Caenorhabditis elegans: one gene and its partners. The protein of the gene in region 3 purifies or fractionates together with the protein of the main gene of each other region. This does not show direct contact. Each region holds a gene or a part of one and is shown on either strand. Other genes may lie near its edges. The genes, in order: rpc-2, let-611 and W06E11.1.

What was found.
Region 1: the proteins of W06E11.1 (region 3) and rpc-2 fractionate together in Caenorhabditis elegans (co-fractionation; one large-scale study listed by BioGRID). This does not show direct contact.
Region 2: the proteins of W06E11.1 (region 3) and let-611 fractionate together in Caenorhabditis elegans (co-fractionation; one large-scale study listed by BioGRID). This does not show direct contact.

Annotation. Positions count from the first base shown.
Region 1 is NC_003281.10:5,555,526-5,563,435, reverse strand, and holds the start of rpc-2 (DNA-directed RNA polymerase subunit beta), read right to left. Parts: upstream 6,072-7,910; coding exon 5,340-6,071; intron 4,927-5,339; coding exon 4,019-4,926; intron 3,779-4,018; coding exon 3,689-3,778; intron 3,640-3,688; coding exon 3,357-3,639; intron 3,060-3,356; coding exon 2,865-3,059; intron 2,594-2,864; coding exon 2,215-2,593; intron 1,756-2,214; coding exon 1,197-1,755; intron 679-1,196; coding exon 534-678; intron 1-533. Other genes in the region: hach-1 (3-hydroxyisobutyryl-CoA hydrolase, mitochondrial), read right to left, coding at 6,446-6,564, 6,615-6,835, 7,034-7,407, 7,460-7,852.
Region 2 is NC_003279.8:6,253,231-6,258,195, forward strand, and holds let-611 (DNA-directed RNA polymerase III subunit RPC3), read left to right. Parts: upstream 1-1,804; 5' UTR 1,805-1,811; coding exon 1,812-1,874; intron 1,875-1,919; coding exon 1,920-2,012; intron 2,013-2,074; coding exon 2,075-2,196; intron 2,197-2,244; coding exon 2,245-2,528; intron 2,529-2,999; coding exon 3,000-3,319; intron 3,320-3,378; coding exon 3,379-3,523; intron 3,524-3,585; coding exon 3,586-3,797; intron 3,798-3,894; coding exon 3,895-4,290; 3' UTR 4,291-4,390; downstream 4,391-4,965. Other genes in the region: cebp-2 (CCAAT/enhancer-binding protein homolog 2), read left to right, coding at 1-84, 132-248; lpd-2 (LiPid Depleted), read left to right, coding at 471-596, 644-781, 827-1,076, 1,121-1,436, 1,484-1,610.
Region 3 is NC_003281.10:640,370-646,566, forward strand, and holds W06E11.1 (RNB domain-containing protein), read left to right. Parts: upstream 1-1,689; 5' UTR 1,690-1,702; coding exon 1,703-1,951; intron 1,952-2,140; coding exon 2,141-2,247; intron 2,248-2,949; coding exon 2,950-3,447; intron 3,448-4,098; coding exon 4,099-4,477; intron 4,478-4,941; coding exon 4,942-5,160; 3' UTR 5,161-5,697; downstream 5,698-6,197. Other genes in the region: tag-267 (Major sperm protein), read left to right, coding at 425-490, 546-705, 749-859, 918-1,171.

The DNA of each region.
Region 1 (7,910 bases), 4.9 Mb from region 3:
GAGAGATTTTTTTTATTTGGGAATGGATCTTGCTCGAATAGCACCGAAAATTTGATTTTTTTTAACTTCCGAGCAACAGAGATTCAGAGCCATTAAAATAGAAAGTTTTGCTTTTTTTAAAAAGTTTTTAGGGAAAATGCTTTTTTTAAAATCGATTTCTCTGTTCTTATAAAAAAGTGGGAGTTCAAAAAAAAATTAATAATCGGTTTCCGACCTTTTTTTTCGATATTTTCAGATAAAAGTCGGGAAATGTATTCTCTCATGATCAAACAAAATCCATAATTTTCTCTGCGGTAAATCAAAAATTTTCAAGAACCTTTCCAAAAAACGTCAACCCAGTTTCCAAGAAAAGTCGACCCGCAAAGTCAACCCACGCAAGGCTTCTCCCAGTCTCTCCCGCAACAGTTTCGCTCCTCATTTTCGCAAAAAAGAACCACTTGAGAGTGTTACGGCTAGTGTAATGATGAGCAAAAATTGCGCGCACACACACAAAAGTAGCAAACTTTTAAAAAAAACTCGGTAAGGGAATTTACCTTAAACTCATCTGATGACACCATCAAACGCTCAATAAGCAGCATCGATGCTCCATAGGCAATGAGACAATCACGTTCCATTTCTCCAAGACGTAGACCTCCTTCTCGTGATCTTCCTTCTGTTGGCTGGCGAGTCAATGCGGCTCTGAAAATTTATAGATTTTTAAAAGAAACTCTGAGAATAAATTGAAAAAAATTTTTAAAAAAAGTTTTTTTTTTAATTTAAAAAATGTGAGAAAAATTAAAATGGTTTTTTTTGTTCCAAAATATGCATAACATTTCCGCGAATTGGATTTGAAAAAAATGTATTTCCACTATGAAAAATTGATTCTTTTTTCCCCTAATTTCCTAAGCTTCGAGCATTTTGTCAATTCCTTTTTCAGAACTTTTTCAATTTGGCTTTTTTCGAAATTTTAACCATGATAAAAATAAGTGAATTTTGATTGATACCAAATTTTCTAATTAAAAAAATGTTGCAATTCCTCATTGTTTTACATCAAAAGTTTTAAAGGAAAGTTGGAAAATGCAGAGTTAACTGTTCTAAAAATTTTTCTTTTTCAGATTTTGTTGCTAAACTTAATTTTTAAATATTTAATTGAAAATTCTTTCCAAAATTCAGAATTTCCAGACAAGACATTATCTAAATTCAAAATCTCTCCACACCTCGGTCCTCTGGCACGGGCGTGCATCTTATCCAAAACCATATGCTTGAGCTTCTGATAATAGATTGGTCCAAAGTAGATATAAGCAGATAATGGTTGTCCAGTAATTCCACTTGTCAGCATATCTTTTCCCATATAATTATAACCACAAGCAGCCAATTCTTCACAGACATCTTTAACCTGATCTCCACCAAATGCTGTTCCATAATGATATGTTCCATTCACTACTCCAGCTTTTCCAGATAACAATTCCATTAATTTTCCGACAGTCATTCGAGATGGATATCCATGAGGATTCATAATCATATCTGGCACCATTCCAAGATCATTAAATGGCATATCTTCCTGTTGAGCAATCAATCCGCATACTCCTTTTTGTCCGTGTCGAGATGAGAATTTATCTCCAAGTTCTGGCCGACGGGTTTGTCGAAGAAGAACTTTGAATAAATGAGCTTCATCTTCATTATAGGTAAGAAGAACTCGTTCCGCATATGATGGAGTTGGAGTTTTATACGTGATCGAGACGTCTTTGTAGTCAACTTGGCGTCCAGCGATTCCGACTGAAAATTTAAAGAATTGTTAGTGAACGTTTTTTTTTTTACTTTTTCAGAGTTTTATATTTAAATTTTCGTTTTAAATTAAATTAATTGAATATTTGAACGGAATAAATGTCAAGTTTTATTTAATTGTGAACGTAAAAAAGTTAGAAAATTTATATTCGCAAAAAAGAACGGAGACAGTTTCTTTGAGTTTTTTTTTAAAACATTTGTTTAATTGGTAAAAATTAAAAAATGCTATAAATACTTCAGATTTTTTGGAAAAAGTTTTAAAACAGGGTTTCTGTTGAAAACTCGCTTTCATTTTTACGAGGTTGGTCTGGGAATTGTTTATTATTCTTTTTTTTTTATATTTTTCGTGTTTTTTTTCGTAAAACTTTTAAAAAAATAGATGTCTTCTCGAAACTGTACATTCCGTTTTTATTTTCCTTATACAAATTCGTCATGCTCATTTCAACATACTTGTATTGGCAGAAGCCGACGCTCCAGGACCACTTTCTCCACTGACAACTGGCATGTGCTTATTGATAATCGTCTGTTTCGGCATAATACGTGCTCCGGCGAATACAATACCCTCTTGATCGAGATTTTTGTGCTTGAAAATTGGTTTTCTCGTGTTCGGATCCAATGCTGGTCCTAGAAGACGATCGAATGTCTGATTCGGATATTTTTTGGCGGTTCCCTTCACATGTTTGTAGACCAGACAACGACCATAACCACGATCCAGTGAAGCTTTATTGAGCACAAGAGCATCTTCGATATCGTAACCACTGTATGACATCACTGCGATGATTCCATTCGCGCCGGCCGGCAGTTTTTCAAAGTTTGTCAGTTCGATTGTCTGGAAAATTGTGATGTAAAAAGTTTGAACAATTGATAATTTTCTAAAAGAAAAACAAATTAAAAATTTCTGAATAGAATAATTGATTAGAAAGATATAGCGGATACTTCCGATTTGATTTTTTTATTTTTCGGAATTCAGGAAATTGATTTATTTTTATTTTCAGGATTATTAACGATATCTCTCCACAAACATTAGTTCAATAAATGAAACATGCATTTTTTAATCAAATTTTTTTCATAAATTTTAAAATATTTCAATTTTAACGAACCTTTGACTTAACGAGTGGTCTCTGTGGATAACATAAAAGATACATAATTGAATCAATTCTTTTCTGTTGATTATAGGCAATTGTTCCCATTGCTTGTTTACCCATAGCACATTGATAAGTATTACGTGGAGATTGATTATGATGTGGATATGGAATAAGACCAGCACACACTCCAAGAAGAGTAAATGGCTCAATCTGGAAATTTTGAAAGATTATTAATAGCTCAGACACTGAAAAGTGCAAATTTTATTTTAAACTAAGGATAAAAATCTTTAAATGTTGGAATTTCCTTGAATTATAGAATTTTAGAGCTCTAAATAATTTGATTTTCAATTTTTTATATTTAAAAAAATGAGAATTTAAACTTTTTTCACATAGTTTTAAGTTTCAGACAAATTTTACCAAATTTTTTGAATTTTCTTTACAGGAAAGAACAACCAGTTTTCGATTTAATTTTTTTCATTTTTAGATTCACAAAGTTCAAAAACGTACCTCCAAATGTGTAGTTTCTGGGCCAATTTCTCTCCCATAAACGGCAATCAACGCATCGTTCATCTCATTTACATCCAAATATTCGACAATTCCGTCATCAACAAAATCCTCAAAAATCATTTTTCCCTCTTTCAGTTCCTGCACGTGAGCCTGTGTGAGCATTGGAGTTCCGTTTTTGACAATAATATATGGTCGACACAGGCGGCCACCGTCTGATGAAATGAAAACAGAACGATTGGTTAGAGAACGGGATACTGAAACAAATTCTGACAGGAGTCCACTTCTGAAATTGAAATTCGATGAATTTTTTGGCAACATTTTTTTGTTGAAACCTTCTCAAATCTCTGACGGCTTTCACCACTCTTTCTGGATCCACAGCTGTTCCAATGAGCACTCCGTTTAAGAAGATCAACGTGTTTTCACTGAAAATTTTCGATAAAAATAACCTTTTTTTTAGGAAAAAACACAAAAAAATGGATCTAGTAATTTTCAAAAATTGTCAAACCTTAACTCGATTTGAAATCTAATTTTTATGAAATTGATAATTTATTTTAGAAATTTATAAAAATTGATTAAAATATGCGATTTTTTCAAAACTAGCATTCTCAAAACTTTTATTTTTCAAGATTTCACACTTAAAATTTTAATTTGTAAAAACTCACGGCTTATTGACATGCGAGAAATGCACATTATGTAAATCCTCGACTCCCGAATTGAGTAACAATCTGAGAACGGGTTTCTCATCGGAATCAGTTGTAATGTGACTAATCAAAGCGAGATTCTTCACAAGACCACAAGCTTCACCTTCAGGAGTATCACTCGGACAAAGCATTCCCCATTGAGATGGTTGAAGGGATCGAGGACCAGAGACTTTTCGAGTTTTCTCAAAAGTCGAGTTGATTCTTGTCATCATACCAAGTGCTGAGATATATGACAATCTACTTAGTACTTGTGTAACACCAAGTCGTTCCATTCGGAATCTTTTGATAATCCAATTTCCTGTCGACATAGCATTCACTATAGTATTCGTAATCATATCTTGTCTCATATGCTTCACAATATCCAATGGTGCAGCCATTGTCTTCATCAACGCATTGTCTGCAATTCTTTTCAGTTCAGAGTTGAATCTTTTGAATACATCCTCAAACAGCAACGAAAGCAATGATCCAGCGAGCTCCAAACGTTTATTTCCGTAGAAATCCCGATCATCAAGCCCATTTTCTCCGAGTTCCGTTTGAATCAGTCGTCTTGTCATTAATCCCAAATAAATCGCCTTCATTTTGAAATTTCCATCTGGGCAAGCAATATGTGTGATCATTGAATTGGACAGAAAATCGACTGCTTCGTGTTCTTTCGGTGGAGTCAAGACGCTCACTGAAGTTCCTGGAAGTGATCCGAATGGTGTGAATTTACGAGCCTTGACTTTTGAGGTAACATATGCGAGTGCCTGCTGTTGGGTATAAACTCCGGCATTTATGGATTCTTCGAGAGTTTGAGCAAATGCTGAAACGTACTTCTCCTCGTGACCGATTGTACTCACAATGTCAAAATCTGATTCGACTCCCATCGCCTGGAAAATTGAAACTTTGAAAAGGAAGCGGTTTTTAGTTTTTGTTTTAACATAATGCTACACTTTTTTTAAAATTTTCCCTATTTTTTGTAATAATTTTCTTGAATTAAAAAAAGCGAACTCGAATTTTGGAAAAAAAAATCTGAAAAACTCCAGATTCGATAATAAATGTTTTTGAGGAATTTCGATTGAAAATATCGTAAAATGTTCAGTTTCTCACAATCAGAAAGAAAGAAAGCTTCATTATTTTTTATTCTAAAACATTTTTTGAGAATATTTTTTGCATCAAAATTTGGAAAAATATTTTTCGGAGAATGTTTTTGTATTGGATGTTTTTTTTTTTAAATAAAATATTTAGGAATGAATGCCGAACATTTTTTTTTTCAGTTGTCATCAAAATTCTCAAAATTTACCTTGAAAATGATGGAAACTGGTACATCATCGGTGAGCTGATTGTGGCGAACAGAATATTTACCCTTCTTCATAGTCACATATGTCTTACTTTTCCTCTCGGACGTCGACGAAAGTACTTCACACTGCAGTTCTTTACTTGAATTTCTTCCAACCATAATACGATTTTTGGAGAGTTGTTCTTGAATCAGGATAACCTTTTCACTTCCTTTGACCACAAAATAACCTCCTGGATCATATGGGCATTCTTGAACTCTTGCAAGCTCTTCTTCGGCAAGATCTCTGAGAATACATTTACTCGAACGAAGCATAATCGGCATTCGACCAATGATCAGATCCTTCTTGAATACTCTTTGATTACCACGTGTGTACTCAATATCCACTGAAATTGGCGCCGAGTAGGTCATATCTCGTAGTCGACATTCTTGAGGGGTAATCTTATCGTGAGTCATGTTGAGACCCTCCTCACTGCTGGGTTTTCCGATTCGAATATCCAAATATTTGAGATAAAAGTTTGGATTTGCATCGGAAGTGATCTTCTGATTGGAGAGCATGATACTTCGGATCTCCTCCTGCACGAAATGATCGAAACTGACGAGATGCTGTTTGACGAGTCCTCGAACTTTCAAAAACGCGGGAACGAGAAGCCATTTGTCCTCGAGTGGCATGCATTTCTGATCCTTGCCGCACTCGGATTTTATGCGAGCGCGGCCGTTCACTTGGCCAATTGTCATCTGAAAATTGGTATTGAAAATCTGAAATTCTAGAATAAAAATTATTTGAAAAAGAGGTACAAAAACAGAAAATAACAGTTTGCAATAGAAATCTGGAAATAAAATTCAAAAACAAAAAAAAACTTTATATTCATACGGCGAATAGCTGAAAAAGGCACGGAAATTATTTGTACACCCGGAAAAATTAAATTATAGCTAGACATTTTTCTAAAAATAAATACATAAGGGGTTCCTATTAAAATGGTAAAAATTATGGGGGAAAATCAACATTTTGGGTGAAAAGATAGGAAAACGAGGAAATCCGATAAAAATTATGGGTTTCCCTGATTTTTTAGCTTTCCATTAAAAATTCAATTTTCCGCTAATTCTGGCCTCTACAATTTTAAATCAGAATTATTTGGCAATGGCGAGAAATAGTTATCGACGACAGAATCCTTCACATCAGCCAACGTCGCTGGATTCCACTTTGGCTTGCGATCCTTGTCAACGAGAACTGAAAAATGAGTCAAATTTTCAATGAAACCCTACAAAATCTCTGCTCACTGGCTCGGCACCCTTCATGGAAATCCTTATCGGCGAGGAATCGTTGAGTGAGACGATACTCCATTGTGAAGATCTTTGCATAGCTCATCTTGCTTCCTTCGGTGATTTGTCGGTGAGTTACTTTCAGGGAAGTTGGGCTCATTTTTCCTAGAGTGGCTGCTTGCTTCTTTGCCCAGTCGGATCCGTCTTTTTCGAGGCTTGCGAGGATTTCTTCGACGCTTCTGAAAAATCAATTATTTTATATATCTTAGGCAAATGTAATTTTTTGTGTGCTATCGAATCCTCAAAACTGGCCCTTTCCTAGTTTTTGCTTAAAACTAATATTATCTGAGAAACAATAATAAATCAATTCGATGAAATGCTACTTTTTAATTTGTTCCAACTCAAATACACGTGATCTTGGTGACAAAATATCTTACTTTGCTTTGAAGGAATCTCTAATTTGAGCCAAATTCTTGGACAGACTGAATTCTGGAATCTTCTTTGGCTCGAACGATCTGATGACTTCATCGACAGAGTTCTCTGTCACATCCTTAATATTCACAAGTTCCTTTTCCAATTTCGCAAGTTCCGAAGACTCCACAAAATGAGTGGCAAGACCAGCATGGAAAGCGTCAGCACCTAGAAGACGATATCCAGTGAGTGCCAAGTACATTCCGAGGTTTCCCTTGAGCCTTGAAAGGAAATAGGATCCACCGACGTCTGGGAAGAGTCCAAGTGCGGTTTCTGGCATTGCTAGCATTGTTTTCTCAGTGGCAACTCGGAAACGTCCATTTACAGAAAGACCACAACCCTGAAACAAGTTTTTTAAAAAATTGAAAAGAAAATAGTTGCAGATAACTTACTCCTCCCATCACAATTCCATCAATCAGACAAACGTATTGCTTATTCAAAGTTCCAATTAAATGATTTAAAATGTACTCCTCGCGGAAGAAATCCTTGTGCATTGTGCACTCTTTTCCACTCTCCGAATCTTTGAAAGATCGCACAACGGCAAGAACATCTCCTCCAGCACAGAACGCCTTATCACCGGATCCTTTCAAAATGACAAGATCCACATCGGAAGATGAATTCCAGGCTTGAAGTTTGGGATAAAACTCTCGTACCATTTCGAGGTTCAACGCGTTTAGCGCTTTAGGCCTATTCAATGTAACCACCTTCTTCGATCCGTGTGTGTCGACAAGGATTTCCGACTTGGCGGCGGCGCTCACGGAGAACGACATCTTCTGGCAGACTTCCTGGAAATTTCTGAGTTTAGAACAGAAAATTTGATAGAAAAATAAAATGTTAGTCAAA
Region 2 (4,965 bases), on a different chromosome or scaffold from region 3:
CGACAAAAAAAACGCCAGGAAGAAAATGACACTGCAGAAAAAGTAGACGAATTAAAAAAGGAGAACGAAACACTAGAAAGAAAGGTACTTGTTTACTTGATTTTTTAATTTTAATTAATTCCCTCTATCAGGTCGAGCAGCTACAGAAAGAGTTATCATTTCTTAAAGAAATGTTTATGGCATATGCGAAAAACGACGGAAATGATGGACCACCACCACCGCCACCACCATCTTCTTCCGCCGTGTAGATAACAATTTAATCAAAGATTTATCCACCATTTCTGTAAATTTTATACAAATAACTCAATTCACGCATTCCAATAACCAAAGAAAAATAAATTTAGAAAACGCTTTACTTTCTTTTTTAAACTGTTTTTTTTTGTGTGGTACGTTTCCAACAATTTATCTTGAATGATCTTATTAATTAACTTTTTGAATTTGTGTTGTATCAAAAAAAACGTTTCTTTCAGATGACCGAAACGGAGCAAGAAGCGTTTGCTGATTTAGTGGCAGAACTGGAAACTCAAACTGCAGAAGCAGTAAAAGCTTTCAGTAAAGTTTTCGATCGGATGGAGGAAACGAACGATGACAAAGAAGTGAAATGAAAACCTCAAGATTTATTCAAAAACTTTTTTATTTACAGGGGCTTAGTCTTCTGAAGCTGAAAAACTATGAAATGACAGCGTACCTTGGAGAGTTGACTGTCCTTATGTCGAAAATGATGAAAGGAGAGTCAATTACAGTAGAACCATCTGTTAAAAGAGCTTTAAAGCATAGAGTGGTATGTATTTTAGTATTCCAACTGTTCCTAAAAAACTAGTTTCAGTTCATTGAAAAAATGAAACCAGTCGAGGATAAGATGAAACCTCAAATTGAAAAGCTACTAGGCCGGTCAAGCGCCGAGAGTGGAGCATCAAATGGTTCTTCCAAGGGAAATCACAGAGTTCGATTAGACAATATGGACGTTGAAGGAGATGAAGAAGAAGAGGAGGAAGATGAAGATGATGAGGAAGGAAAAGGAGCAAAGGAAGTTAAGAAATATGTGGCACCAAGAATTAGAGCAGTTCGATATGAAGGTATGTTCAAAAATTAGTTTTCCGTAAAGTTATGTTCATTTTAGAAGAAGACGAAGCTCCGAACAAGCAACAAGAAAAGGCAAAACGTCGTGCAATGCAAAGTAGTCTTATTATGGAACTCAAAAATCAATACAGTGATGCTCCGGAAGAAATTCGAGAGATGAGTGAGAAGAAATATCAATATGATCGTGAGAGAGAACGTTATGAGGAGGATAACTTCACCAGAATTCGATTGAATAAGGATCAGAAACGACGAAGCGAACAACTAGGACGTTCGGAAACTCTTGATGATTTGCTCAGTTTTGGAGATTATATGATGAGAGGAGAAGATGGTAGAGCACTTTCCGAAGGAAATAAAAGGTAATCTTTAACTTTTAAAATTGTCCAACATATGATCCATTATTCAGAAAGCGTGCTACATCTTCTGGTGCTGGCGGGGACACAAAACGACACAAAAAATCCCAAAAGGAACGAAAGAAAGCGGCAAAAGGAAAGAAGGAAGGACGAAAAAGGGCTATTCGCAGAAGACAATAATGTTTTTTGTTGCATTTTTATTTGCCAGTTGTTGAATTTTTTGTTAACTTTTTATTTGTTTTGTTTTACTTGTTTTTATTGTATTAGAAACAACACTTAAAAAAAATATTTTCAAAAAACAATTTCCAGAGCGGTTGCAAAGCCAAATATCTGTAAAACTTCCAAGGAAAGCTTTTTTACTAAAAGACCTTCAGATCAAAAATGGGTGGTGGAAAGTATGAGACTCAAATGTGTGTAATTATCATCGAAGATATTTTCGGAAAGGTAAGAATTTAAAAACTTTCTTTTTAAACTTTTTTTGAATTACAGATTGTGGCGAAAGTAATGGAGACGATTCTGAAAGAAAGCTGCCAGTTGTCTACTCTTTTTTATAAACTGAAAGGACAAATTTCAAATACTCTAGTTAGTTATATTGATTTGGAGGATATTGAGTTCACTTGCAGAAAAAATAGATAAATTTTCAGATCAGAAAATCGGTTTCCACATTGATCAACTTTGGTTTTGTTACTTTCCACTTGGACACGAACAATCGAACCACATATGTTGCAGATTCCGACCAAATTCAACATGTCATTTCCTCGCCGAGGTAAAAAGTTGTAAATATATTTTATAGAGCCAAATATATAATTTTCAGAGCTTGCCTCATTGCTAAAACGCTCTACGGACCTGCTGCAGAGTCTATCTGCGTCGAACTTATTTCTCAAGGGCGGCTTACCGTATCCGAGACAATTCGTCGAATTCAAGCGACAGATGAGACGGCCGTGTTCAGTGACATCAAGAAATCTTTCGAAGAACTCGCAGCTGCACATTTTCTCATTCGAGTTCCGTCTGTAGAATCAGAAATTCATGGTTGTCCTCAATTTGTGACCAATTTTGATCCATTTGCAATATCTACTAATATCATGGAAAAGAAAGAAGGTAATGAGAATAAAATAGTATAAAGCAATCTTTAAATTTAGAATGCGGTCTGTATTGTATTGTATTGTATTTATTACGATTGAAATCGTGATCAAAAATAAATAGTGAATAGACATGTAGGAAAATGATTAAATTTATTTCTATCATGCATGATACTTAAATTACTAAATATTGAAATCTAAATTTTTTAAAAATTTGTTTTAATTCGTGTTAAAAAGTGGTTCAAATGAGTTCGCTCTTAGAGAAATCTGAAGCACTATGAAATATAAATATTTCAAACATAATAAAACTGAAAAAAAACATTTGCTTGACAGCATCCAAACAAATTGGTGAAAAATGAGTTTTCACCGGTTTTTGGTTCAAAATATATGATTTTCCGAATTTTTTGAAATGTTTTATTATGATATACATATTCGGGCATTTTAGCACCATAGTAATCTTTTTAAATAAATTCCATATATTTTATTACAGGAACATCCACTAGCGACTCAACTTCAAACAACCGAAAGCGAAAAGCTGATTCAACTCCAGAGGATGGTGATGCAGGTCAATATTGGAGAATCAATTGGATCCGATTCAATGGATATCTTCGCGATGAGCTTATTATTGATTATCTTATTGGAGGTGGTTCAAAAGGTACAATGACAAATTTAAATGTCAAAAAAGAAGAAACCATCGAAGATCCACAAGGAGATAGAACTCAATACATCACACAGAATGTGGCTCATCTTATGTTCAAAATTAACGAAACGAGAGCTAAACCAATGAGTATGGAGAGTATCACAGCCAGTGTAAGCCTACTTTTTGCTTGATTAGTGATTATTAAAAAATGGTTATTATTCCGTTTCAGTTGACCGATTTGCAACGACTTGTTAAAGAAAATGGACTGAACCTTGCCAAGCCAGATATTGAACTCGCTTGCCAGATCCTTGTTGATGAATCGGACGGAATTATCAGAAAACTTGGAGAATCAAATGGAGGTATTTTTATTGTCGGTATGTTTTTTTCTCTCTAAATTCTTTGAAGATTTTCAAATATGAAAGTTAAATTATTTCAGACATTCGTCGCGCTATTCGTCAAATCTGTCGTCATCACTGTGAATCGCTCATCAGAGAACAGTTCGAAGGACGTGCAATTCGAGTTATGAGACTTCTTGAAAATCGTCATTATCTGGATGAAGAACAAGTAGAGAAGTTGAGCATGATGAGTGGAAAAGAAGCAAGAGAAATGTTATACGCATTAGTTGAAGAAGGATATGTGTTCAATAAGGTAATTTTCGGTTGAATTATTCTACTTTAATTTACTGAATAGTTGGTATAACACGAATTCAAAAATTATTGTACTTCAACATATTGAAATATTTCAGCCTGTCGGTCGTAGCAACGATTTCCAACCCGCTCGCACATTCTATCTCTACTATGTAGATCTACCTCGTACTATTCGTGGTCTCGTAGAGTACACTTGCAAATTGGTCCGAAACCTTATTGTTCGTCAACGACATGAACGAACTGAAAATAAATCGGTGCTCGACAAGGATGCGAATGTTCAACCAATTATTGAAAACATTCGCTCTTCTGAGCAACTCGATGAAGCTTCAAAGTTGGCACAAATTGCAGAAGTTGAAGAAATGTACCTTCCTGGTCCAGATCGTGCACAATTGAATCGCTTCCGTAAAGCTCAGGCTACTTTGCTGGCTGCTCAGGATCAATCAATTCGAGTTTTGCTCTCTTTCAAATTGTTCTTGGCTTCAGGGGAAAACTAAAATTTGTTACTTCGTTGTTTTTTTAAAATTTATCCGAGTTGTTATGTTATCTGATTTTGTCATATTATCATTGTTAAAAAAAATGAACGTTTTTCAGTTATTTGGTTTTCCGTTTTTGTTGCTTCTACCTTCAATTCCATCACTTTGATAACTTTTTCTTTGTCCTTTGTTCTGTTCATTCTCTTTCAATTCCACATAAATATAAATATAAATAAGCATTTGTTACACCATTCGTTACACTTTCTTCCCTTTCATCCACCACTTTTTTGTGGTTTTTTCTCTTTTTATTCTCATCTGAATGATTCATTCGTTCGTGATGTGTTCCTGTAAAGATTGGCTTCATCACTAAACATGAGAATTGATGAAAGAGTCTATTTCAACAAACTTAGCAAATTGAATATTTATTATGAATACCCCGAAGAGAAATGTTTTTATTGAAACCTGAAACAGGAAATTTTTTCTGTCTTTCTGTTCATTCTGCTTCACACCGTTCAATATTCGATAGTAAGCATAAAAGTTTTAATGATATTGTATTCATGACTATGTGAAACATAACTTTAAAGGCGCAAGTCATTGTATTTGGCTGGTTCCACCACGACTTCTAATCTAACTAACGAAACCGTAGATCTGACAAAAAAATTCAAATTTATTTTCTAAGAAAAATTCTAAATAAAT
Region 3 (6,197 bases):
AAAGAAAATCAATAGAAATTGAGAACTCAAGGAGACCACGCTCTCTCTGGGTAAAAGGTTGTTTGCAGAACGCATGTTTCCGAATGTCACAGTATAAACGCGAGGTTTTTTAGTTGAACACCTAGTAAAAGTGTTATAAAATGTAAGATTTTATTAAATGAAAATAAATTATTTACTTTGTAACAAGAAAATCTAAAATTATATGTCATTTACTCGTTGTTCCTCATTTCTCCAATGTGAAATCTCTCAATTTCGTGAAGTCTCTTGTGGTATGCAACGGCGCCCTATCGCACTTTTTTGTGAAACATATTTTTTCCTTTTTTTGCAGATTTTCCAATTTTTTTTCGCTAAACGCATTTATTTTTAATATATTTGTGTTTTATAATTTTAAAAAATCTGAAATTTTGCAAAATTTTCCAGTAAAATGGGCAAAAAACGAAAGCACCAGGACTCGGACTCAGAGCAATCTGGAAAACGGGTAAAAAAAGTGGTAAGAATTGAATTTCTTGATTACAACTTTTTTGGTTTTAATTAAATGTATTAAGGAAGAAGCCAGAAATGGTGTGGCTGACATGACGATCGATGAGAGCTCGGATTTTCAAGTTTTCCTCATCAAAAAACCGATTGGTGTTAGTTTAGAAGATTTGGAGGCGCTAAAATGGTCAAACGACGAGGAAGTGTTGACGAAAACCAAATTGAAGACAGGTGAGAGTATTTTATTGAGAAAAATCTATGAGAAATTTTTCAGAATCCGGAGTTTTCCGAGCTATTGTTGCGCCAAAGTCGAAAAAGGAGCGGATGGTGCATATTCCGGCGTTCAGGGAGCGGGAAGAAGCTGACTCGAAGAATATTAAAGCTCGTAAGCATAGAATTAAGCTTAAAAGTTGATAAAATTACCCAATAACAATTTTTTTCAGAGAGTTTCGTCACTGGCGCCATCACAATTCTCCCGCAAGAGGTGAAGCCCAAGGTACTAGGAGGATTTATTTATGAAGAAGGCGAAGAACCCGTTGAAGGCTCTTCAGAAGTCCATCCAGGCCTGAAAAAGATCAAAAAGACCGCAATTTTGGACCTGGAAAGCCGTCAACAACGTAACAAAGCCTATGGAACCACTACGGAAGGCGATGGAAAACCGAGAAAACTTGCAAATATTATCGAAAAAATGAATTGAAATTTACTTGTTGACACATTTTTTGTTGAATTTATCTTTTTGTTTGTTGATTTTTCGTTTTTTTAGCTAAAAATGTTTTTTTCTTAATTTTTTTCTGGTTTTTTAAATCGATTTTTGGAAGTTTTAACATCTTCTGTTAATATTTATTTGCCACGTGGCATTTATTGATTGAAATTTAACATTTTTCAGTGGTTTTTTGGGAATTTTTGATTGGAAAGACGAGATTTTTGCTGAGTTTTCCGTGAGAGAACTAGAAAAATCGCAAAAAAAGTCAGAATCTCACAAAAATTGTGTCTAAAAATTCTCCAAAAATATTAGTAAACTAAAATTAAAATTTTCTACAAAAATCCTTATTAATTACACAAAAAATTGCATTTTAGCTTTTATTTTTCCAAATTTTTCGGGAAAATTTGTGTTCTTCTAGGTAAAAATGGGGTTTTTCAACAAAACTAAGGAAAAACAAACGATTTTTAAATATATAATTCGTATAAACCGTCCAAATCGCTCAAATTTTTCAGGATCTCATACTAAATGGAAGTAGACGGTGCTTCTGACGACGAACAAGAGCAAATTATTCGAAAACTTGTCAAAAAACCGGAATTTCTATCAGATGAAGAGGATGATTCAGTTGAAGATCAAGTCGTTTGGGAATGCGACGTAGTTGTGTGCAATTCCACACCAAATACTGAAATGTTCTCTGTTTCGTATCCTTCGAGCAAACGAGACGCCTGGGATGCAAAGCGATTTCCAATTGCCAGATATAAGAAGAATGTTCGATTGGTACGGAAAAACACTTGAAATTGGCTTGAATTCATTGAAAATCGGAAAATAGGACACTAGAATTATTGAACAAATTGAACAAATCCTGTCAAACGTTTAGAGAAATGCCCAAAAACATCTGAAAAAGTAGCCGTTTTTTTCACAATTTAATCAATTTTAGATCGAATTTTCAATGTCACTGATTTTCAGCTAGAAATGCGCTTCATGACAGACACCCAACTCGGATCATATGACAAAAAGAAGGCAGAACTTATGTATATGGATGGAGATGTCCCGAAAAAAGGACATGGAATTGAGTAGGTTTTACCACAGTTTTTGATGCTGAAAGTATGAAAATACACCTGAAATTTGCTTTGAAAAAAGTAGAAGGTAAAGAATATATTTAGCAGACCTATAGTTGGTCTGCTAAATATTTAGCAGACCAATGAGGTTGGGTCTGCTAAATATTTAGCAGATTAATTTTGGGTCTGCTAAATAATTAGCAGACCAATTTTGGGTCTGCTAAATATTTAGCAGACCCATGGTTGGTCTGCTAAACAATTAGCAGACCAATGAGGCTGGGTCTGCTAAATATTTCGATTAAAATTCGAGGATTTTCAAAGAATTTACAGATTTCTTTCGTTTTTTAAATGAAAAGTTCAATAAAATGCTTTCGGTTTGTAGCAAAAAACGTAGAAAAATCAATTTTTGAGGCTTAATGCGGAGTTTTTTTGAAATTTGGTCTGTTAAATAATTAGCAGACCAAAAGGGTTGGGTCTGCTAAATGTTTCGATTGCTAATCGAGGGTAGGGACAGATTTACAGATTTCTTGCGTTTTTTGAAAAAAAATTGATTTAAAAAATTGCTAATTAATTCGTTACATTTGTTGAAAAAAGAGTAGAAAAATCAATTTTAAGTCAGTGTTTTTTAAAATTTGATCTGCTATCCACTTAGAAGAGCCTAGTTTCGAATTTTCATTCGAAAATTGTGTGTTTTTCACATAATTTCAATTCTTCCAGTGCTCTCCGAGCCAACGATGAGATCTACGAAGGCCGTGCATTCATCCACGATCACCCAATAGTCAATGCAATTGGATTTTTTAAAAACGGCGAATTCTTCATTCATCCGCTGACTGGAGCATTCGAAATGCATCGATCAATTCAAGGGTTGAATAAAAAGAAGAAATCCGACGGAAAATCTGGAAAATCCGATGAAGATTCGTCTGGAGAAGAAGAAGACGTTAAGCCATCCTCCGCCGCAGTTAGAGTCAAATTTTCTCGGCCTGAAACTGAACGACAAAAAAAACGACGAGAAGCATCGGCGTTACATCGAGAGAAAAAGATTGCAAGTGATATGTGGATTCCGATGAAAGTTCATTTGAAAGATGGTGACCCTGTCGCTGAAAAAATTGATGGAATTAGTCAGAATGGACTCCTTTTGGACGATCCTGAAGCTTCACGAATGAGCATTAGAGCTCTTGTTAATAGAGCTATTATTTGTGGTGTTAAGGAGGAATTGTTCGTTTTTTTGTTGTAATTTTGCACAGAAAAATAGTGTGGAAAAACGGAATTTTTCAGTTTTTTTCCACAAAATCCCGAAAAAAATGGCTGAAAACTTGGGAATTTTGGTTTTTTTTTTCAGTTCAGAAATTCAATTCAGAAATAATTTAGAAATTTCCAAAATCTTTTTTCACTAAAAATTCCCAAAATTTAATTTCTTCTGAGAAAAAAAAATTAAAATTCTGTTACTTGACGGAAAACATCAAAAATTCAAAAAGTCTGATTTTCACTTTAAAATATCTCAAAAATATAGTTTTTTTACAGCTGAAAAAGCCTAAAAATTCATATTTTTCCCTTAAAAAAATAAATTTATTTCTTCTAAAACTAAATATCCTGAAATTGGATTGTTTTAATTGAAAATGTTCCTGAAAATTAGTTTTTCTTCTTGTAAATCACAAAACTAGAGGAATTTTTACTTGTTTTGAACGAAAAATCCTGGATTTTAGATTTTTGACATGAAAACGCTAAATTTTTTGTATTTTTAATGTAATTTTCATTAAAACCTCCAAAATGTTTGTATTTTTAGTGTAATTTTCGTTAAAAAGACCAAAAATTTTACATTTCTACTGGAATTTCCACTAGAAACACCCTAAAATTAATGTTTTTCAGAGTAATCGAATCAGGAAAAGAACATATGCTTTCCAAACAACGAATCGATGATCTTCCGGATCCAAACCTTCAATTAAAGGCGCATATGGTGAAATCTCACGTGATGAAGACTTCTGAAATGCGTCGTTTAATCGATCCATCCGCAATGAGCACTGATAAAATGATTGCGAAGCTCAAGGAATGCGCGAGTTTAGTTCAAGGCGTCTGGGTGTTGGATTCGAATTTAATGTTCAAAAATTTGGCGCCGGCGCACTCGAATACGGCGGGAAAGACGGATTTGTATCGGGCAGAGCTTTGGAGAAACGCGCGAGATTTGGCACTTTGCCTGATTGATGGTGGTCATAGAGTCACTCGGCTTACTCTTATGACATGCTTTAAGGTAGAAAAACTCATATTTAAAACTGGAATTCCTGTGGAAACTTCACTTTTCCACTGAACATTTGACTGGAAAAGTTAAGAAAAACTTATTGAAAATTCCTGGAAATCAACCAAATTTCCAGTAAAAAAACAAAATTGAAAAATTCAATTATGAAGTTGTTCCTGATTCTTTACTGAAATTAGGAGGCTTTTTTTTTGCAAATTTTTCATTGGAAAAATGAAGTTAAAATTTCCACATTGGAATTGAATGCTAAATGATCAAAAAAACTTCAATTTTACGCAGAATTTGATTGAAATGTAAATTTTAAAAAAGGGGGAAAAAAATCTAGGAAGCATTTGAATAAATTACGAAGAATTAAATAAAATTTTAATATAAATTTAGCAATTCTCGAAATTTCGAAAAAAAATCAGAGTTCAGAAGATGAATCTACATGAATTCAAAAATTTAAAACATATGTGTTTCAGCTCAGCGAACGGGATTCCGATGAAATTTTGTCGACTTTTGGTGTCAAATGTGAAGCTACCAGATCATGGAGACTTCGCGTCGAACGGGATGCTCAGTTTTTGGAGGATCCGGCTATGAAGAAGCATGTGGTTGAGCAGAAGGCAAAATGGGTTCAGAAATTTAATGAATTGGAGAAGTCGCTGCAGGAATCGCCTGCCAAGTCCCCGAAGAAAAAATGATTTATTTCTTTTTTTTTAGCCTTTTTAGCCTGGAATTTACAGAAAATTTGAATTTTCTTTTGGAAAAAAAATCACTGAAACTAGTCAATTTTCCATTGAAATTTTGAAATTTAGAAAAAATGACAAAAAATATTTTTTCCAATTTTTAACGAAAATTTCAAAAAAAAAATTTCTGAAATTCAAAAAAAATCCTTTAAAAAACCGATTTTTTAATTATTGCCTTCTGAAAAACCTCCCGTCAATATTGAGAATATCTAATAGAATATTGATTTTTACAAATTGGAATTTTTGTCAATTTTTTGGAACAAAAATCAATTCAAAATTTTCAATTTGTAAAAAATTCAATTTTTCACAAAAAAACTCACAAAAATTGTTTTTCTGGAAATTCAAAATTTCTGTAAATTTCGGTCATTTTTCCAAAAACTCAATTTTCCTCTCCCACGTCATTCTATTGTTTCCATCATCACCACCAAATTCTCCACCGATTTTTGTTGATCTTTTGTTGTTGTTTTTCATTTTTCTGTTATTTTGAATAATTTTTATTTCACTACTCCGAGAATTTTAATCCGATTTTCCCCTAAAATAGCCGAATTCCCGAACGGTATCCGAATGATCAATTTCAAATCTTTTTACAAACATTATATTACACTTTTTGCTATTTGCCAACACGTGTTGATTTTTCAGATTATTGCTGTACTTTAGGGGCGGGGCGGGAGAGATCAAAACCCTTTTCTTTCAAATTTAGATCAAGTTTCGGGTTTTATTTCTTGATTTTGATTTTGCTTTCACGAAAAAGAAATCTAAAAATTGCCAACAGAGTGTTTGCTTTTTTCAAAGTTTTCCTTTTTAAAATTGTGATTTTTAGAGCTTATAAATTTAAATATTTCCTAGCGTACTGGTGACGCAATTTTTTCGAAAAAGCCGAAAATTCCATAATTTTTCCCTATTTTCATTGTCAAGAACCCACGAAAAGTGAACAAAAACTTGGAGTTTTAAAGAAACAACCATCAATTGTCAATAGAGCGCGTTTGCTTATA